Diceros bicornis minor: one gene and its partner. The protein of the gene in region 1 purifies or fractionates together with the protein of each later gene. This does not show direct contact. Links are inferred from orthologs where the notes say so. Each region holds a gene or a part of one and is shown on either strand. Other genes may lie near its edges.

Region 1 (6,822 bases):
CTCTCTTCCATAAATACCACATATGTCTTGAAAATATATCCAAAATATCTCCATCTGAAACTACAGTACAAAAATCCATTCACCAGCCATAAAAATAATACCTTCCCCTATACATAAATATAATCATATGTAAAGCAAATTTGGAACACATGGCGGGGGGTTACAAAATCTCTTGGGATTTGGCTATTTAAAGTCATTTTTGTTTGGGTTATCCCTCTGCCGAGTATAGGAAACGGGCTACAAATACATCCATCTCACAGTGCTCACCACTTCAACAGCTCCTGCGTCATGGAATGTGGTGCTTTTTAAAAATAGGCGACCCTTGGTGTCATGGAAAGAAGAGGAAAAATGGGGGGATCCACGGAGGGATGATGGTGGGAAGTAGTGAAAGAAGAGGGACAGACTTAGGTTACAGGGTGGTCTTGAAATACTCTGCGGTATAAAGTAAATACCCAGGTTCAAGAGGCCTCCGCTGTCCCTACCCCACTGCCACCAGTCGCCTGAATTCCCCCTTACAAATCCGTTTCCCGGCTGGTGTCCAGGCAGAGGGCATACAGGGACCTCCGCAAGTCCACATTGCTCTTGGCTTTGAGATTACACTTCTCTAGGGGGCAGCTGCCCCTTTGGGCTCCATCCGCATTCTCCAGGGACCCCCTAGCCTTGCAGAAGGACCCCTTGCTCCAACTGGCTTTCCGCTGGCCTCTGCTGTCCGGCCCGGTCCCCTGGATCTGGCTGTCCTGCTCTTCCTTAAGGGCTGCCTGATCCTCGTGGTCCGTCTCTCGGTGGTAGAAGTAGTTGAAGTTGGAGACAATGACAGGCACAGGCAGGGCGATGGTGAGGACCCCAGCGATGGCACACAGTGAGCCCACGATCTTGCCCCCCACAGTGACAGGCCTCATGTCCCCATAGCCAACTGTGGTCATAGTGACTACTGCCCACCAGAAGGCATCCGGGATGCTGGAAAAGTGGGTCTCCTGGTTGTCAGCCTCTGCGAAGTAGACGGCACTGGAGAAGAGGATGACTCCGATGAAGAGGAAGAAGATGAGCAGGCCCAGCTCCCGCATGGAGGCCTGCAAGGTCTTGCCCAGGATCTGCAGCCCCTTGGAGTGGCGGGAGAGCTTGAAGATGCGGAACACCCGGACCAGGCGGATCACTCTGAGGATGGCCAGGGACATGGCCTGCTGCCCGTTCTGGCCGCCCCCTCCTCCACCCCCAGGCTGTTGCCCTGCCAGCTCAGTCCCCAAGGTGATGAAGTAGGGGAAGACGGCCACCACATCGATGATATTCATGATGTTTCGAGAGAACTCCGCCTTGCTGGGGCAGGCGAAGAAGCGCACAAGCAGCTCAAAGGTGAACCAGACGACACACGTGGTCTCCACAATGAAGAAGGGGTCAGCCAGGGTCCTAGGCAGGAGAGGTGCCACGGTTGGGCCAGAGGGAGGCGCCACAGCCCCGCTACCGTTGGCCCCCCGGGTGGACCCAGGAGGCTGGTGAGGCACCGGGGGATGGCGGAGCAGCTCGCGTTCATCCCTGAACTCAGGCAGGGTCTCCAAGCAGAAGGTGATGATGGAGATGAGAATGACCAAGACGGAGACGATGGCAATGGCCCGCGCAGACCCCGAGCTTTCCGGGTATTCAAAGATAAGCCACACCTGGCGCTGGAACTCGTTGCGGGGCAGGGGCTTCTCCTCTTCTTTAATGAAGCCCTCGTCCTCCCGGAAGCGGTCCATGGCCTCATCCCCCAGCTGATAGAAGCGGATCTCATCTGCGAACACGTCCAGCGAGACGTTGACCGGCCTCCGCAGGCGGCCCCCCGACTGGTAGTAGTAGAGGATGCCATCGAAGCTGGGCCGGTTGCGGTCGAAGAAGTACTCGTTCCTCAGGGGGTCGAAGTAGCGCAGGCGCTTGGCTGGGTCCCCCAGGAGGGTGTTGGGGAACTGCGCCAGGGTGCCCAGCTGCGTCTCGAAGCGCAGCCCGGAGATGTTTATGTGGACGCGCTGGTGGTGAAAGGACCCTGCGCCGGGCGCCTGGTCCTCCGCCATGCCCAGGGCGGTGTCGCCTTCTCCCTCCTCGCCCTCCGGAGGCAGCCATCTAGGTTGCTGCAGCTCCTCGGGGAGCGGTGGCAAAGGCCGCCCTCCCGGGTCCGCGCCCCTTTGAGTGCCGCGCCCCCTTGGCGCAGGCTCCTCGGGTCCTTCGCTGAGCCCAGCCGTCGAGGGGCACTGGAGCTCTCCCCGTGTGGCCTGGCCACAGCCTGCCTGTGCCTCACCTCCTCCTCTGACGGTCATGGCACTGCCGTTCTCCAAGGGCACCAGGGCAATCTCCATGGCCGGGGGGCAGGGGGCATGCTGCGCCCCTGGCGACTGGCTCCCGCTCCACCCCACTCCCGCCCCGCTGGGCGCCTCGCGTCGGGCTCTTCTCTAGCCTTCGGCGGGCCCCCACTGTGCGGCGGGCTGGGGCTGCTGGCGCGATCCCTTCGCTTGGTCCTGACGTCAAGAAGCCGCTGCCCTGCTCTCTGCCTCTTTCTCCGTTCTGGCAACCCGTTACCAAGCAGCCAAAAGCCTCCTTCCAGCAGATGCAACCTTCAGCTGCCCCTCTCCTCGTCGGCTGCGCGGCGGCGCTTGGCCTCCACCCTGCGCGGCTCCCCCGCCTCCTCCCTTCCCCTCCTTCCTCTCCCGCCTCCCCTCCCCGGTACCGTGGCAGCGGGCCTCTCCCCGGAGGGCACAGCTGGGGCTCCGGGCAAGAGGAGGGAGGGGGGCTGAGAAGGGCGCAGCCGGGCGGAGGGAGGAGGGAGAGAAGGAGCGGAGAGGATGGAGGAACAGGTTGTACCGCGAGCGCTGAAACTCCCGGGGCAACCAGATGAGAATAGCTCTGGATTTCAGTTCACCAGGGAACCAGCTGAACGCAGAGTGGACTCGAGGGGAGATAAGTTGCCTTGGGTTGGAGGGATGAGGCTTTGAGCTGAGTATCAGAGAGGGGAGACAACAGTCCTCTTTACATTTCCCCTTTGGAGGGATAAGGGTTCTCTCTTCTTTGGGAAGAATCACAGTTCAAGACCCACAGCTTGGCCACGCCCCCTGCCTTCCGTAATTGTTCCCAAAGATAGATAGAGGTAAAAATATATCTATCTCTGTCTCTGTCTGTGTCTATCTCCAGACCAATGGAGAAGCGTCTCTCTTCCCATCTTCCTACAAACCCACCAAAAGGTAACCGCCTGAAACCTGCAGCGTCCCCCTGCCCTTACCCACGGGAAAGCCCGGATTCCTGTCCAGAGAGCGGTGGTCAGCGCGACAACCCCAGGAAGGCAGCTGCTGGGAAGATTCCATGCCTGGTCTCATATCCCTGCTGAGACACAAGCCCTTTGCTCTCTCCACAAATCCATTTGCAGAAACGCTTAACAGGGAAGGGGAGGAAAGAGAAAAGAGTCCCAGTGAGAGCTATTTCTGCTTGGTGACGCCCAGAGCCAGCAACCACAGCAGGCCTGTGCAGGTGGTGGCGGGCAGAGGCCATTAATGAGAGGGAGCCAGGGAGGTTATGGAATTCCCAGAGCTGGAGAATTCCCGGGAGTAGAATAAGAACCAATACTTGCTTTGCTCTTAGGATATGCCAGGCCCATTCTCAGCACCTTACAAATATTGACTGGTGTATTCCTATAGCAACCTATTTTCTAAGTATCATTATTATCGCCATTTTATAGATGAGGAAAATGAGACACAGAGAGATGGACTACCTTGCCCAGGGTCACACAGGTAGAAAGTGGTGAAGCTGGGATTCAAACCCCAGCAAACAGAGCTTGGGCCCTTGGGCTCCCTACTCACCACACCTCTACAGAAATGCGTAACCGCCTTTCTAGATACAAGTCCCCACACGCACATCTGGCCTGGGCATCTATCTGTGGCCAAGGGAAATAGCTTTCAAGGCCTGTCTAGCAGTTACAGACACATCCTCCAGGTGTTCGTTGGTTTTAAGTTACCGTGAAGTCACTGTGTTTCTGAATGTCTGTCTATTTGTGTTCCTGTATGTCATTTGGGGTTTATAGATGTGGATGCCACACCTCTGTCTGTGAATGTGTCTGCACATGGGGGATGTTGTGGACACTTGGTACCCAGTGCACAAGTGTTTGTTGGAGTAGCAGGGTACGGATATAGGAGCTTGTGTCAGGGTTGGAGAAGTTTAGTGCGTGTGGCTTTTTTAATTGTCCGTGAGGGTGGATGTGAATTAGGCATATGTAAATGTCTTCATTGTCTGTGACTCTGCGGTTAGCTCTCCTTGCAGATGTGCATGACGGAGGAAGGGGCGTGAACGTGAGAACCAGTCTGTGCAGGCATCACTGGGTATCCACAGGGCCTCGCACTCACCTCCCCAGACCTCTGCCCTTCCTGCTCCATCTCGTTCGGGTTTTTATTCTTCTCTGGCTCTGAGGTTGCCAGTCAGGATCACGTCTGCCCCTGGGGAGCCTGGGGCTTACTGAGCTTGTAGAGAGTGAGCACAGAGACCTGTGGCCACTGTATCTTGTTTACTGACTTCTGCATCTTGTAAAGATGGGGATGCCGTGTTGGTTGACACGAACTCTCCCTGGCGCTCCTTAAGGGAAAGAGTTCTCTGGACCTTGTGGTCCAGGGGCCCTTGGGAGGCTATTCCCTGAAGAACAAGAGTACAACATAAACACGAAGCACATCAATCAGGCTCCTTTCATGTGGTGTTTTCTTCCATCTGCTTTCCATACCTTTACTAGCTTTTATAAGTTTCTTGCAAAATTACCTTCAGATGTCACATCTGGCAGCCATGGGGCCATACTGCTAGGCTCTTCCTTAAAGAGAGAATTTGCTTTTCAGCTTCAAGGAGTGCAGTTAGCTGACAGCCTCCAGCTGTTAGCATCCTCTGGCTCTGCCTCCCTTTCACACAGAGGCCGTGCTCTTCCTGGGGAGCCCTCTGCCAAAGACTGAGCACAACAGGGTTACAAGGACCTGGCCATTTCTGCCCAATGCAGAACTCTGCTCATGTGCACTCTTTGCTCTGGATTTCCCCATTGGGTCGGCCAAGAGTTTGTGAGAAATACATTGCATTCCGAACCCTCCTCTCCTCTTTCCTTTCACAGGTGTCAGATCAGCCTTGTGGTCCGAAGGCTATCCCTGCTGAGTTCTGCAGGTCCTTTCATTACCTCCTAATAAACCTGTTGTACTCCTAACTCCATCTCAGTGTCTTCTTTGCAGGGACGCAGCTGATATCCCACATAACTGAACCTGCTTTCTTCTGCACCCATCTAATAGAAAATAAGCTCTTTCATAGCAAAGCTTAATGTGCACCATGACCTGAGGATCTTGTAAAAAGGCAGACTCAGACCCAGGTGAACGTAGACTGCATTTCAAACAAGCTCCCCAGTGATGCTGATGCTCACATCCAAAGACCACACTTGGCGTTGCGACCTATTCTCAGACAAACCCCAAATGATGTCTTTGAAGGAGTTATTTGCAACACCTAGATTATGTCGCCCGAATGAGATATACAGAGGAGAAAAAATGGGAGGTCTTCTCTCAATTCATAGGACTGGTCCTACCAGACCAGAGGACTTATAAGGTGTGCAGAACCACAGAGAAAAGAATGTTATTAGGAGAAGTAAACATTGATGGGAAGGAGAGCTGGACTTGAAGAGAAAGGAGGAGAAGAGGAGGAGGATAAAGAATCCTAAATACACCTTTATTAATCTATTCAAAAATATTTATTGAGTACCTACTACATGCAAGGCATTGTTCCAAGTTCAGAACTATATTGATGATCGAGACAGACATATTTCATAACCTCTGTGGAGTTACATCCTGGGGAAGGCAAAAGACACTGAGCATCTAATTTTACACTGGTTGGTTAATTACAGTTTTAAGGGGTACCAGCTAAATTATAGGGTGCTCTGAGAATAGTGGGGAGCCTGACCCCATCTAGGACCCAGGGAAGCTTTCCCGAGGTGATGATGGAGAAGACAAACTATTCCAGGTGGAAGGAAGAGTCTGTCCCAAGGCCTAGGGAGGAAGGGACGGGGCGGGTTTGAGGAACTGAAAGAAAGTTAATGTGGCTGACACAGAGGGCAGGGAAAGAGTTCTGCAAGATCAGACTAGAGAAGTGGAGGAAAGCCACATCATGAAAAGCTTTCAAGGTCGTGTTTCATGGTTGCCCCAGCAAGATGTAATAACACATCCTTTCTTCCACCATCGGATACTTTACTTGTGTCTCTGCAAAGCAGATGAGCCAATATGCTTTGTTTTAGCTCTCCATTACTTGTTTTAGCCTCTTCTCTCCTCCAGTCCTACTAGAATATATCTTTATCTTTATCCCTCTGAGTGTATATATGTGTATCTATTTGTATGTCTATCTATATATCTATCTATCCTATCTATAAATAGTATCTACCACAGCATTTATCTATCTATAGATGATAGGTAGGTAGGTAGGTAGATAGATAGAGAGATAGATAGATAGATAGATAGATAGATAGATAGATAGATAGATAAAATAGGGAAGTAGGGATATCTTGAAATCAAACACCATACTGTATTCACCTCTGATTTGCCTAACAACACTAAACATGGCGCCATGTCCATATCATGAATTGCATTAAATATATGTTGAATGCAACTGAACTAAGAGAAAGAAATTCATTTGTGGAGCAGGGGAGGAGCAGAAACTGAGGGATAGGAACTGAACAGTGATTTCTGAGATTCGCTAAATACTCCAATTGGGTGTGAAGATGGAACCTAACCAGAAAATGTTAAGACTTGTTTGGATGGCCAAATAGGGGAAGCGGTCAATTCACTCCACGTTGGCCCTTTTTTC
Region 2 (7,540 bases), on another chromosome or scaffold:
TCCGTGTCTCCGGCACTCAGAGCAGTGGAAGCAGGGCGGGTGTGCCCTGGGGAATCGCAGGACCCCAGCCAGTGGCCCCCTCCCAGCCCCGCATGCCGGGAGTGGCCTTGCCAGGCTGCACCACGGAACTGCAGTTCCCGGGCTTTTAGGGGAAGAGACACTCGTGAATAATTCAGCCTCTTTCACTGAGATGAAAACACCCTAATAGGACTAATGGACTCGCTGCCTCCAAACTCGACCCTTGTGGGACTCTCCTCACTCACCAATTGCCTCTGACGTTCTGCAGTGACACTCCCTAATGAAACAGCTGCTGCGCCAGGTCCTCAGAGCGTGTGGTGGACCCTAATAAACCAGACGGTGTCCTTTTTAACGAGCAGACGCCCAGAAGGCAGGTGAGTGGCCCCGTCAGCTCCAGGAGTGCAAGTGGCAGCCACCTTCTTCAGGGGATGCTGCTTGGGGACAAGTGTCCTAGGAACGGAATAACAGAGGGCCGGTATTTGGGGATGCGTTAGGCTGATCTGAAATTAGACCCCCTCTATTTTTTCAAAGGGGAAAACCTCAAACAAAGCCAGCCCCAGGTCCCCGTGAGATGACCGCTGGAGGCAGGAGGGTGGGTGTCTGCCGCTTGAGCATGCTTGCCCCCCAGCCCCACCGAGCGAGCGCCGACTGGCTGTCCCCGTCTGGGGGAGACCTGGGCAAACCGCTCCTACCTTGTTGGGCTCACCGTTAGGATTCAGCATTTTCGAGTTTCCCGGGAGTGACAGCAGGGAGGTTTGTGGCTGTCTGAAAGGTCTGTCTGGAAACACGGCCTGGGAGAGCGGGGCTGCTTGTTCAGGCCTTGGTTTGCTGATTGCTCTCCAGCAAAAATCGTTTCGTTTCTGCCCTGACGCGATGCCGTGCATTGTAGAGCCTCGCTTGGAATGATGCCGCTTCCCCTCGCATTCCCGCTTTCAGGAACTCTGGCTGGTTTCTCTGACATTGAGGCAGATGTCGCCGTTTAAAAGAGATGTTCAGGATTCCTTCCACACCTCGCGTCTCATGCTTTGGTGGCTGTCAGTAAACAGACCACAGTTCAGCAGCGCCAGGTGGAAGGCTCTTCAGAGAGGTCGTGATTTCCACTGACTTAATGAGGTTAATGTCTTTGTTTCGTGTTTCCATGTCATGGTGTTCATTCACGTGAATTCCCCCGAGCCCACCAGTCTGCAAGAATAGATTTGCAAAAGGCAGGCTACAGAAGCAGTAGGCGCCGCGTAATTAGCAATGGCTATTGAGGAGGGGGCTGATTTTCCTTGAGCTGGGGATGGGCGGCAGGATGGTGAGGAGGAGCAGCGAGAGGTCAGTGTCACTGTGCTTTAAGCTCTGAGAAGCCAGAGGGCCGAGGCAGAAGCCCCAAGCGTGGGCTTGCCCTCCCTTCTGCCGGCAGTGTCCTCCTGGGGACCCTTCATCCAAGGACCCAGCCCTGCTCGAGTTGCCTTGAGAGGCAGCGGGAATAGGCCCCAGTGTGAGGAAGTCCGGGGAGCTGGCTTCTGTCCTCTCCCACCGGTGGCACTGGTGACCGTCAAGTCCCACTGTGCCTTCTGTGTCCTTCCTGCTCTGGGGGGTCTTGCCTCCCTTGAGGACCTTAGCAGGAGGAACATCTCCCAGCCCCTCTTTTGCTGTGCCCACGCCCCACTTCTCCCACAGATCTCCTGGCTGGAACCTGCCCTGGCTCCACAGGACCCTCGCAGCAGGAGGCTCTGGGCTCCCTCCATGCTGCAGGTGGCCCCGCCCCACCCGCAGGCCCTCCCGAGGAAGGGTCACAGCAGAGGAGGCCCAGCCCCACAGAGAGGGGCCCTCCAGATCCTGGCCGCACCTGTCCTGCACCCGTCTCATTAGGAACGTGTGCTCTCCGTGAGACGTTTCATCCTATTCAACATTTTCTAGTGATATTTGGTATCCGCACAGCTTCCTCGTAGCACTCAGGCCCATGCTCATGTGTACCCTCTCGGGAGGCCCCATCCCCCCTGCCACCCTGTCTTGTGTATTTTTGTCCCGACACCAGCTATCATTACTGGTGTCACATGCCACGCCTTGTTGTTGGTGGCCACCTCCCCGCGTGCAGCAAGCTCCCGCTGCAACACCATCCCCTGCCCAGATGTCCAGCTGGTCCTCTGCAGCCCGAGGCAGCCTATGCAATAGGCCTCCGCTTGTCCCACTTCACAGACGTGGAGACTGAGGCTTGGAGTGGTCGAGATGTCTGACTAGGTAGCCCTGAGTGGGTGCCCCTGCCCGAAACCTGGCTGCTTAGCCACACTGTCATCCCAGCCCCAGGGCCTTGGCTAGATTTCCAGAGCCAGACCAGACCAGGGTTGCTTTTGGTGGGTGATGACTTGAAAGCTAATGGTTATTGATCTCGGCCTGGCTGGGCCTGGCTAGGAATGCTCATCTGAGGTGGGTCCTGCTTTTTGGGTGAGCTCCTGCAGCTGCAGGCTGCATAGCTGGTCTTCTCTCTGAACATGGACCCCCCGGAAGCCAGGATTGGTCTGCTTTCACCCCACCACACGGCCAGCGGCCTCTGAAGCAGCTGCCTGATGCTGCCCTGTGTGCACTTGGAGAGGGGGTGGGAGGGAGGGAGCTGCTGTCTGTGGGCTTCCGTGGCACCATTTCCTGAGACAAACCCCCACCCTGGAGCCCCGTGCCCTTCTACTGCCCCCAGAGTGATTCTCCCAGAAAGGGGGGATTTTTACACCAGGGACATCCCTGCCTGCTTTAGTGTCCATCAGAGACCTTAGTCCAAACCTCTGGGGGACGCCAGAAGTCCTGGGCCCTGCAGGCCCCTTCCCTTGGACCTGAGCCACAGTGAATGCGAGTCCTGGCCGAGGGGCCCCCCACCCCCCAGGAGAAGGCAGCTTGCGGAGAGCTGTGCCTGAGTCAGGGAGCCAACCCAGCCCCCCCAGGTGCTGCCGGGCACTGGCAGGGAAATGCCCAGTTAGTGTTGCGGGCACTGAGCAGGCGGCAACAAAAGCAGACAGAAGAGTGCCCCCTGCCTGGACCTGACCTTCAGGGGGATCAGATGCAACAAACAAGATGATTAGAGGAGACTCCAGCACGTTAGATGATGACACGTGCCGTGGACAAAAACCGCAGCAGGAAAGGGGATATGGAGTGTGGCTAGCCCAGGCGGCTCCACCACCTCCACACTCAGGGACCGAGCCACAGCCTCTGCAGCTGCCTCTGCTCCCGGGACAGCCCCTCCAGCCCTTCCCAGGGATAATCGGATTTGTTCTCCCTCGGAGCAGAGGTCGGGACAGTGCTGGTTCCTCCAACTCCCAGGGCTGGGCTCCGGGACCCCGCTCTGCAGCTGACCCTGCGGGAAGGGTAACTCCATCTCACCTCTGTCGTCAGTGACTATGCTGGGGCTACCGTGCAGGCAGCTGCGCCAGGGTGGAGGGCTGTGGTCAGGTGCAGGAGGAGTCCCTGGATTGTAGGCCACCTCTGCCCCTTGGGGCCGTGTCTTTGTTGCCCGGTCAAAGATGCTGCAGGATGTAGATGCCAGTCATGATGCCACCCTTCGTTGATGCACTCATTTATGCACATGAATTCACACACAGTAAATGGTAGCGTCCCATGCACACACTTCTTCCCCTGGCCTTTTTCCCACTGTCTTTTAGGACTCATTGAATATCAGTCTGTGTAGAGACACCTCTCTCGATGGCAGCACAGATTTCCATGATGTGGCTGGACTGTCATTTACGTAACCAGTTTCCCCATCAATGGACATGTATGTTGTCTTTAGTTTCCAAGAGCGTGCAGACATTGTTTAGGATGACTATTTAGCAATGGTGCTTAACATTTAAGCTTTGAAATTTCCTCATCCATACTAAGCCTATTCCCCCTTCTTTACCCCTCTCCTTAAATGCATCCTGCTCAGTGTTTCTATTGCAAAACTTCGTGGATTGTGACATAGTTATCACGGAGCGTGGCGCCCTGAGAACTCTGCTGTGCAATGGCGCTTTCTACAAGCAGAGAATGTGTATGGATAGCACTTCCCTTTACAAGGCTTGGAACAAATGAGCAGGGTCTTCCTGGGGCAGGGCCCCCTGGCATGTGGGCTGAGGCACCCCCGGCCTAATCACACTGGAGTCTGCTTCAGTGACAGGTGTGCTGCTTCCCGGGGACAGCCCTTCACGGGTTTTACTCTGGGAACGCCTCCAGAGAGCACCGTGATGTCGGGTCTTCGGCTGTGGGGGCTCTGCTCTCTGCATGCTCCCTGTGCCCCTGTGTTCATTTGGAGCACTTTTGAGCTCTCCCGCCTGGAATGTGGCTTCGCCTGTGCTTGACTCACGGGTGTCGGGGGGAGAGGGCGGCTTAGCCAGAGCTCCCGGCCAGCTTTGAGGACTGAGAATCTCATGCCAAGAAGTATTTACATCCAGGGGCCTGGCCTCGTCCCTGGGCATCAAGACCCCTTGGTGGCTGCTCTAGTTGGAGGATGTGTCTCTGCAGCCACCGCTGCCCTGGGGCCAGCATCCAGCCCGGGCCCTGGGGGCAGCAGCACGCTCTCTAACCCGTCGCCACCCGGCGTTTCCCGTCTGGACAGTGGTGGCTCCCAGGCCAGGCGGTACCATGTTGTCCATGACGTACAGCGAGAGCCTGAGGAGCGTGAGCAGCAGGTGTCACTCTGATTGGGCCCTGCACCCCGTCCGCCAGACCGACACACTAGAGCTGCAGCGGCTGCGGGAGGTGCGGGCGGCCGCCCAGGCCAGGAACATGGAGAGCTTCCTCCGCATGCACGGCCTCTCCCTGGATGGCTGCACCGCCCGGCGCACGGGCATGAAGTACCGGTAAGGGCTGGGCTGGGGCTGGGGCGGGAAGTACGCTGGACGTGGCAGGAGGCCCGAGGCAGGTGCTGCAAGAGAGAGAAGCCCAGGAAACATGAAAACAACTTTACCGTATGTCAGGGTCAATATTTTGTGTTTAAAAATGCCAAGCATATAGAAATGTATAAAGGAAGAAAATGAAAGTTTGCACAGTCCTATCCTCCAAAGAAAAGCACCGTTAAGTTTGGTATATTCTCCGTGGGAAAAGAATGTGGTTTCTTGAAAAAACTTTGCAGCAGGGGTAAACGTGCTATTTCATTTGTCTTCTTGCAACGTTGCTGAGACAAATTAATTGTTAGGAGTTAACTAAACATGAATTAGGGAAAATACCTCAATTCGTCATCTCTAATGACAAACCCTACCTGGCGCCAGAAACCCGGGTTGGGTTGTGGGGGCAAAGACATGGTCCCCTCCTTTCCATCCTTAAATTGAGCTGTCCTCGTGGGAAGTGGTTTCAACAGGTGGCCTCTGAATTGCTTGCTGCAGCTCCGCCTGTAACTGTGATGGTGAAGGCTGTGGATTAAATGACCCTGTGTTCTCCAGGGGACAGGCATGTGGGGCTTAATTTCCTGGGAACCTCAGAAGGACATTCTCTTTAGCTTGCTCATTGTTGAAATCAACGTCTGGGACAGTACTCCGGCCTGCCTACTTTCTCCTCTGGGAGCCTCAGAAAGCAGCCAGAGAGCCCTGGAGCTTGCATTTTCCGTTATAAATTGCATATATGCAGCTTTATTCCTGCGCCTCCCAGGGACAAGCCCTTGCCAGAGCCAGTTGGCCAGAGAACACCCTCTCCGCAAATAAAATACAGGATGCCCAGTTAAATCTGAATTTCAAATGAACAGTGAGTTTATTTTTTTAGTATAAGTATGTCCCACATATACTAAAACATTTTTCGTTGTTTGTCTGAAGTTCAGATTTAATTGGATGTCCTGTATTTCATCTGGCGACTTGAAATCTTTAGCTTCCATCTAACAGGCCCCTGGGGTTATCGGCTGTTCTCTGGAGAGTAGAGTGACCAGCCTGTGGCTTTAACATTTCTCCTATGGACAATGTGTTTGGGCCTTCGGCTGATTGTTTGAACATGTGGTTGTCATTTAAAGCAACAAAACACTTCTGCTGTGAGTCCATTAGATGGCAGAATCCTTAAGGCTTTGTATTCTAACTCCAGCTGTAAGGGAAGCTAGTTTGGCCCCAACGAGCTCCTAATTCTGATGGAAATTTCTCAAAAGGGAGATGAGACTCTGCATTTTTTCTTTTTTTTGGCAAGTCATTGATACTTTTGATTAATTCAACAAGTGTTTATTGAGGATCTACCTGGCTCCAGGGAACAGGTGTGCCAGATGCCACATGGACAAGACAGACAGCGTCCCCATCCTGGATATCGCTTCCTCAACGGGGGAGGCAGAGAGAAAGCAAGTGGACACCTAAGGGAGTAAGGGGAGCCGGGGACGACTTGGGCCAGAGACCCCAGCCATCTGAAAGGGGACATTTGAAGATATGCGGCAGACCCTTCTGGGCCAGGGAGACAGGCGTACTTTTGGAGAGAGAAGGCCTGAGTGGCCTGGCCTAAGTGAGGACGGCGGAGAGCTGTAGGGATGAGGCGGGGTGGCCAGAGTTTGTCCTCCCCCTAGGAAGACCCCAGCTCCCTCCGTTGAATATGATTTGTGATAGAGGGTGCACCAGGGTGAATCGTGTGCCCCAAAATTTCATCTCCACCCGAAACTTTATTTAGAAATGGGGTCATTACAGATGTCATTAGTTAAGATGAGGTCCTACTGGAATGGGGTGGGCCGTAAACCCAGTGACTGGTGTCCTTATAAGAAGGCCATGTGAAGACACTCAGGGAGAGGCCATGTGACAGTGCAGGCAGAGATTGGATGGATATGGCCACAAGCCAAGGACTGCCTACAGTCACCAGAAGCTGGAAGAGGCAGGAAAGATCCCCCCTAGAGCCTTCGGAGAGAGTGTGGCCCTGCTGTCACTCAGCTTTCAGACTTCTGGCCTCCAGACTGTGAGAGAATCGATTTCTGTTGTTTGAAGCCCCTCCGTTTGTGGTACTTTGTTATGGCAGCCCCAAGACACTAGCACAGCTGGCAGGGGGTGGGTGGAGGGGATGGGGACGAATCTCTTATGTGCCTGACACCCCAGGAAAAGGTCTGTGTGGCATCTGAAACATGCAGAACTAACTGGGGCCGAAATACCCTGGGAAAACTGGGTGGGAGAAACAAGAAAACCACTGGTGGCACCTTTCGCATTTGATGGGCCAGAGGTTGTCACACCTGCGGGCCTTTCTTTATCTGGTGGATTTCATCTTGCTGCATCCAGGGGGGGTTGGTTGTCTGGAAACAGGGCCTCCCTAACTAACGCCACCAGTTATTAAAGATTCCAGATAAATGCTGTTCCGCAGTTAACATCCCCATCAGCATCTGGGCCAGGACTCAGTTAAACTTGGTCTTAAATAGTAATATGAAAAAGGTGATGCCTCCAGATAGGTGATGCTCGGTGGAGCAAAGACACCCACGCCACTGGCCGGACGTGTTATCGGCTGAACTGAGCCTGCAGCTGGGGAAAAAGCTTTCTTTTCAGCTTCTCCCATTTGTTTTTAACTGTCCTCAACTCTTGCTGTTTAAAACAAATGCACTGAATTTTTAAATCTGCACGATCCCCATGTAAGCTCCTCCTTC

Evidence for each region. Proteins that work in one complex are often made in the same cells at the same time.
Region 2: the proteins of KCNA5 (region 1) and KCNAB2 purify together in Homo sapiens (co-immunoprecipitation; 3 studies listed by BioGRID and IntAct, counting the BioPlex papers as one, with this or other methods). This does not show direct contact. The link is inferred for Diceros bicornis minor from reciprocal best matches to the Homo sapiens genes KCNA5 and KCNAB2.

Annotation. Positions count from the first base shown.
Region 1 is NC_080756.1:56,493,831-56,500,652, forward strand, and holds KCNA5 (potassium voltage-gated channel subfamily A member 5), read right to left. Parts: upstream 2,325-6,822; coding exon 513-2,324; downstream 1-512. UniProt on the Homo sapiens protein: Voltage-gated potassium channel that mediates transmembrane potassium transport in excitable membranes. Forms tetrameric potassium-selective channels through which potassium ions pass in accordance with their electrochemical gradient.
Region 2 is NC_080752.1:26,154,003-26,161,542, forward strand, and holds the start of KCNAB2 (voltage-gated potassium channel subunit beta-2), read left to right. Parts: upstream 1-4,521; 5' UTR 4,522-4,602; coding exon 4,603-4,820; intron 4,821-7,540.